Danio rerio: one gene and its partner. The protein of the gene in region 1 purifies or fractionates together with the protein of each later gene. This does not show direct contact. Links are inferred from orthologs where the notes say so. Each region holds a gene or a part of one and is shown on either strand. Other genes may lie near its edges.

What was found.
Region 2: the proteins of lig3 (region 1) and aptx purify together in Homo sapiens (affinity purification with mass spectrometry; 3 studies listed by BioGRID and IntAct, with this or other methods). This does not show direct contact. The link is inferred for Danio rerio from reciprocal best matches to the Homo sapiens genes LIG3 and APTX.

Annotation. Positions count from the first base shown.
Region 1 is NC_133180.1:66,752,200-66,755,767, reverse strand, and holds part of lig3 (DNA ligase 3), read right to left. Parts: intron 2,593-3,568; coding exon 2,469-2,592; intron 2,376-2,468; coding exon 2,233-2,375; intron 2,140-2,232; coding exon 2,065-2,139; intron 1,798-2,064; coding exon 1,651-1,797; intron 434-1,650; coding exon 283-433; intron 170-282; coding exon 72-169; intron 1-71. UniProt on the Homo sapiens protein: Isoform 3 functions as a heterodimer with DNA-repair protein XRCC1 in the nucleus and can correct defective DNA strand-break repair and sister chromatid exchange following treatment with ionizing radiation and alkylating agents.
Region 2 is NC_133176.1:55,999,076-56,003,076, forward strand, and holds the start of aptx (aprataxin), read right to left. Parts: upstream 2,866-4,001; 5' UTR 2,799-2,865; intron 2,729-2,798; exon of another isoform or gene 2,705-2,728; 5' UTR 2,702-2,704; coding exon 2,572-2,701; intron 2,496-2,571; coding exon 2,449-2,495; intron 2,167-2,448; coding exon 2,113-2,166; intron 1,311-2,112; exon of another isoform or gene 1,058-1,310; coding exon of another isoform or gene 1,003-1,057; coding exon 805-1,002; intron 1-804. UniProt on the Homo sapiens protein: DNA-binding protein involved in single-strand DNA break repair, double-strand DNA break repair and base excision repair.

The DNA.
Region 1 (3,568 bases):
CATCTTAGCGACCCCCAAACTTTTTAATGCTACACATATGGTGTACACATACGTGTTATCAGATCACAAACCTTCTTAACATCTTGTTTCTCAGCTGGTAGTTTCCTCTTAACTGCCGGAGCAGATGATTCTGTTTTCGCAGCCTTTGCTTTGGGGGTATGACCATTTTCTAAACAGTTAGAACAATTAAAGAACAATTAAAGAACATTAATGGTACTCTTATGATGCTGAAGTTGCTACAGACCAAACAAAATCTGTTCCTTATAAGCTCTTGTTGCTCACTGGGTTTGTTAGCTGTGGATGCTCCGCGAGATGCAGATGGAGAGCTTCCTCCGCTCTCACCTCCTGAGGAGCTCTTGTCATTTTGGTTCGCTTTGGATGGACCAGCGGTCACCTCAAAATCACAATTCTCCTTTGAGATGCGATATAGCTCCTGAAAAGAAAAGAAAAAAAAAGAAAAAGTCTAAGAGTTCTTACATTTCAATGTTTCCTAAATACAAAACACTCAAATGAATAGAGGAAGAACAAGTCACTTTAAACAAAGCACACAATATTATACAGGATAATAGTATTCAGTTTATTTACTAGGTTTATTGCGTTAAATAAGTTAGTTCAAGCAATTCATTGGACAACAGTGGTTTGCTCTGTAATAATTAATCTAACAAAAGGAATAAATAATTTCTTAAGGGGCTCTTAATATTATTATTATTATTCCATTTAAAGCAAGACTTTCTTCAGTATTAGCAAAATCTAATAGGACATACTTCAAATAATATATTAAAAAACATCTCAAAAATGTTAAATATAAAAAATAAACAATAAATAAAAGATCGATGAAAATAAATCACATCCAAAAGAAGAGTTTTGACAATTTAAGTGTACTTAAGGTGTATAAAGAAGTTGTTACCCCACCCCGTTTAGAGCGTCATTATGGACGTTTTAAATTATAAGTAGGGCCAGACAGAATCTGCAGACATTTTTTGCCATTTCTGCTGAATTTTGTAAAAAAAACATCTGCAGATTTATGCTAAGCTGTATTTATTGCCGGATTTTAGAAAGTTTATCAGCAAAATGCCTGTCAACCCCAGTGATGACAAGGTAAGCTACTGTATTTGGCTCATTATTATTATAGCCATACCTGTGCCCTTAGGCCTAATATGGAACTTATGTTGAAGAAAATAAATAAATGGCACGTGGAAAGTTTCACTTTTACATGTCTTTTGATTCTCAACTCATTTGTTTATTACATAAATAAAGGTTAATCTTTTTCATAATCGTTAGAAGACAAAATTGAATCGAAACTGAATTCGGATTAATTGCACAGCCCGACAATTTAAACAATTTTTTTTTTTTGCAACATTAACATTTGCATGAATTTAATTGCATTATCTTTTCATTTCTAAAGATGCTCTGAGAGTAAAATATTACTTTAATATATATATCTGTTTAATAAATCTGTTTTGTTCAAATGCATCAATATATTACCCATATTCACTGAGAAATGGCTAAAATTTTCATTCTCAAAATGGGGTGTACTCAAATATGCTAAGCACTGCATATACAATAAAAAATACAATTTTAAATAATTTTAATAAAAATTCCATATCTATACATTTGTCTAAGGAAATATAATTTGATAATTAAAAGTACCTTGAGCTGCTGAAGGTTAGTTGCCGTCTTCCAGTCCTTGTCATCACGCATTCGGGTGCATCGTGGGAATCGGATGGATATGCCATCAGCAGTGTGCATTTCAGATTTAGAAAACTCTGCTCCTGTGATTTCCCACACTGGTGCTTTCTGTAGGTATCGAACCACAAGATATATTCATCCTAACAATAGCAAACACCACTCATAACACTTAAGAGTTGTATGGCCTATTTAACACATTCATCTGGCTTAAAAAGATAACAAGCCAATAAAGATCCTTCATTGCCGTCTTTCGATCTCACACTCAACTGTAACCAGGCTTTTAACACAGTCTCATCAAACTCACTTCACATTACAAGCACATAAACATTACGCATCCCTTTGGTCTTATTAGGAGGAGGATTTTCTCAGTCTTACTTGTGGATCTCGGATAATGAAATCTGGGTAATAGTTCTTGACAATCTTCAACCATCCTGGGATCTTGCTTGGATCCTGCGACGATGACGAGATAAACAGGAAACTTACAACATGCAACTTTTACACATCTCAAAAGAGGAAAACGACTGATTAAATGATGAGATTTACCTTGCCAATTTTAATCACGTCCAAATCTTTCTGCAGTCTGTCTAACATGGCGTCGTCGAAGCCTCCTGAACACTTGGTAACGGTGCACCACTTCCTGGATTCCGGGTCATAGCAGCCCATGAGGAAACTGGACATAATTCCACCTGAAAAAGAAACATAATAATGCCCAGCCCATCAAAAAATAAATAGATAAATACAAATCTGGACTGAAAATGGACTTGATGGCTGATGCTGACCATTTGAGCCTTTGCCATAGAAGGCTCCAAGCACCACAAGATCAGCAGTGTCCGCCATCGCTCCTTCATTCAGATAGTCTTTCTTCACCTTCAGCCAGTGGCGTTTTCCTGGTTCATAAAGGCCCTAAAACAAAAGAAAGCCCAGATGTAGCATGAACTATTCAACAAGCACAAACATACAGCACTTTTGTTTCTGAAAGCAATTCACAATACATAGATTATTTTGACCAGCCACTGGACTGGCTTATCACCTCATTAACTGTTTTTACAGTAGATTTACTGTGTGAAGTATGCACTTTTTCTATGACATTTTAGTACTTTCAAAATGTGCAATACACAACAGACTACTGTTGACTACTGCTCACAAAATGCAATGTGCTCAACTTAACATCAATTTTTCAGTATGACAAAATATTATGTTTTTCAAATGTAGTTTATGCATGTAAATTGAGACAGTCCTCGCTGCAGCCCACAACTTGATGACGTCCTGGACAATCGTCTACACCAGAGGTGGCCAACCCTGTTCCTGGAGAGTCACCTTCCTGCAGATTTCAGTTGCTACCCATATCAAACACACCTGAACCAATTAATTAGGACCTGAACACCACAGGATAATTACAGGCAGGTGTGTTTGATATGGGTTGCAACTGAAATCTGCAGGAACGTGGCTCTCCAGGAACAGGGTTGGCCACCCCTGGTCTACACCTCCCCCAATACCAACTGTCACAGTAGTGTGGGTGTTACCTTAGTGGGTGTTACAATGGCCACTACGTATTGGACCTGGGGTCCGTTGTTCGTACATGAATTACTCACTTATGGATTTGGTTACTGACGATGACACAATCCAGGATCGTTTCGTTCTTAAAAACTCATCTGAGAGTTGTTGTCAGAGCAACAGTTCTGGTAGCTCAAACCTGCTCAGGAGCAGGCTTATTTTATATAAACAGGATTAGATTGGGTAATTTTAAGCAAAGGTAATACTGAAAGTATGTACCGAATGCTGATATTTTCTTACAGTAGTGGTAATATACACAAAACGGGGTCATGGGGTGGTTCTCCTCAAGGGGTTCAAAAAGAACATTTATTAATATGAACTTCTT
Region 2 (4,001 bases), on another chromosome or scaffold:
TAATGCACTTTATTTTAAGAGACTTACTTTGAAATAAGGTCATATTCATTCATGTATTTAATAACAAACAGCACATTTATAACAGTATTATTGATCTTTGTTACATTTTAGTTGATAGAAATACAGTTTTTCATAGTTCACTCAGTACATTAACTAATCCTAACAAGAATGAATTTGCATTTTAATAATAATCTAGTAAATCTGTGATTAATAAATGATGCACAATTATTGTTCATTATTAGATCATGTTGGTAAATACATTACTTAATGAAAACTTTAAGTGCAACCATTATAATAGAGCATATATGAGTAAAATATCTCACAGATCTCTCTTTTGAATTCATATTTTCTCTAGGAAGCTTTACAATATTATATTATAGATTATTCAGTACCGAAATCTGGAGCTTATCTAACAAAATAACTTATGATAACACTCCAAAAAAAAAACAAATGTATATACTAGGGGAAAATATTACATACACATTGAAAAAATAAATCTAAAATAATATTATATACAAAATAAACAAATAAATATATACAATTTTGTTGAAATTTTTGTAGTTTGTAATTGTTTTTGCATGTTTTATCTTTCTATTACTACAGATGTTCAGTGACTAAAATATTATTTCAATACATATATCTGTTTAATAAATCTGTTTTGGTCAAATGCACCAAAATATGACATATATTCACTGAGAAATTGATAAAAATATTCATTTTGCAAACTCATTTATGCCGAGCACTGTATACTCCTATTGCATAAATACTGAAACTTCCCAACCTATACATCTAAAAGAAACTCACCGATTTTTCACCAGCAGGTGGTGTTGTTTTTTTGGGTGGAGGTGGGCTGTCTGACACATCTGCTGTTGTTTTTGTAGGGCTCTGGATCTGCTGGGCTCTTTTGGAGGGTTTGGATCTGGACGTGTCCTCCGTGAACTTCACACTGTAAGGATACTGCTGATTGACCATGTAGAGTCTCTGACCCGGCTTTATGCTCACCTGCTTGCAGAGGTGGGCGACATTTGGTTTGTGTGATGTTAAGCAGACCAGAGACCTGTGCAATACAGCCTCAATTACAAGACAACCGGACAATTATCGACACAGCTGGTTTGCTAGAAGCTGAATAAAATAATAATTGCATCTTATCAGATATTAAAAAAAAAATAAAAAATACTTGGCATTTTAGATGTTGTAAATGTGTTCATAGAATATTTTATCGAAGCAAATACTACTGTTTATGTGTCTGATGTTTATAATAATAATGTACAATTTTCATTTTTACTTTGCCTTGTGTTAACTTAATAAAACTTGTATTAAAATTACATATATTATACCATTATATTTATATATATATATATATATATATATATAAATATATATATATATATGTACATACATACATAGATATACATACATAAATACATATAAATATATCTATACACACACACACACACACACACACATACATATATATATATATATATATATATATATATATATATATATACACACACACACACACACACACACACACACACACACACACACTACCTCAAAAAAATCTTGTCTTGTATCCAAGTTAAGTAATAATTTGACTTATAGTTGATCATTTAGTATCACAATTGGTTTGTATGAAAGGCAAATGACTCTAAATTATGATTATTTTACCAAAATAAAATATGATCATGCCTTGATTTTTAATGATTTCATTAGGACAGTAAGGTCTGACTTTGCTTAGACAACAGTCTTGTCACTTAACAGAAATAATGTACAGTATAGAATATAAAGTCATGCTGTTACTGTGAATTAACAAACAGGACATATTGGAAGTCTGCTCAAGTCTAGGATAATGACTATACAAAATTTTGCATTTTAAGCAACAGTAGAGCTACACATGGGTCTATAATTGTTGTTGTTGTTTTACCATATGTTTAATAATAGGCTAAACTTATTAACCTTTATTTTACATTTACAGAATCGTGAGAAAATCGTGATCTTGATTTTAAGCAAAAAAAAATTTTAAAAATTGTGATTCACATTTTTGCCAGAATCGTGCAGCCCTAGTCCGTATATTAAATACTTTTTCAGAATATTTTAAAAACACTGTACCTGATTGCCTTTGCCCACAACCACATCATCCACAAGTGTCGGATTCACACCCAGCTATTAAAAACATCAAATAAACAGGTTCAAACGTTATTACGTTTTATAAATTAACTTCTAAAAGGCTGTTATAATAAAATATCTGGTTCAAATCCATTTTGGTGAGTAACAAGTATTTTAATTTATTATTAAAGGAGAAAGTCAAAATATAAAACCAACTTTACACCAAGAAATAAACTTTTTTTTGTGGTATTGAAAACTAATTTGCATTATTTGACATATATTTCAGCTCAGTATATATTGTATTAATATTTGCTTTGATATTATAATTCTCCAGCAGACCTGTTTAACAGTGACAAATCCCCTGTTGCAATCAGCTCTCAATTCAACTGCAAAAAAGAAAAGACGTTGTATTTCTAAAATAAAGAGGCCGTTTTTTTATTTGCTTTTTATATGCAAAAATACCTTGTTCTCTAGAGCACTTCTTGTCTTTTATCTTAGTGTCTGGTCCTCGACCCAGAGTCACAGACTGTTGGTGATGGAGCTCAATGGGTTTGTGTGAATTATCTTCACTTACTAGTAAACACACAGGCATCTCCTGAAAACACACACCATATTACACGTTATAATGCTATTGCGTATACATATAGTCTACGGTGCTTTTCTAAAACCCACTTATGTTCGTTACTTACTGTGTTAGTGTAATAAAGCTACGGTAGAAAAAAGTGTGGTAGTCGTAAACATAAAAGTGCAACACATGACGCTCGCTCGCTCGCTCTTGTTCGTTGGTGTCAACAAACAGCACGTCATGCGCGCTTGCTGCCAACTACTGGCTGAAAGATGACGTGAACTAATCTTACCTAGGTGCCTAACAGATAATGTTAATACAAAAAAGATGATGTTAATTCAAAAAGTAGAATTTTAAAAAAGATATTAAAATAAATACAATTACACATATAATATAATCTAAAAATATAAGTAAAAATTAAAATTGTACACGATACAATTACACTTAAGGGCACAAGGCAAGGAGAGCAAACCAGAGTTGTGCAGATGCAAAACAGTATAAAGAGGAAAAAGTACACTATAATGCAAAGTATATAGTATAAAAGGCTTGTACATATGATGAGTATTATAAAGTGACAGTGTCTTAATAATATATAGGAATGTAGTATGAGGTATCTAGCAGATGTAGATGTATACACGTCAGATTTAGTGGAGTTTGTGGACAGATTTCCTGTAACTACACTTTAAAAATAATATAACATCACTTTATGGAGTTTAATTTTATAGAGTATAGAATAGTGTTACTTAATGCAGACAGTTTAAACGCTCCTACTGTTGATTTATTTGGATTTTGTTTTTATTTTAAGGCAAGTAATTATTCACTCATTCATTTTCTTTTCGGCTTATTCTCTTTCATAATCAGGGGTCGCCACAGCGGAATGAACCGCCAACTTATCCAGCATATGTTTTACTCAGCGGTACTACCCATGGTTACTACCCATCTCTGGGAAACATCCATACACACTCATTCACACACATACACTATGATCAGATTTAGCATATCCAGGTCACCTGTACCACATGTCTTTGGACTGTCAAGATACCCCACACGAACAGGGGGAGAACAAGCAAACTCCACAGAAATGCCAACTGATTCAGGCGAGACTGAACCAGCAACCTTCTTGCTGTGAGGCGAACATGCTACCCACTGCACCATCGTTTAGTTCACCACAAGTTATTATGTTCCTAATAAATAATAAATTGATAAAAAAAATAGCCGACCACTTTTTATTTTATTTTTATTAAAAAATGATATTTTATTGTAGCAAATTACACAACAACATCCCTAGACAGTTAGTGAATCCATTTTATATTGTTTTAATAAATAA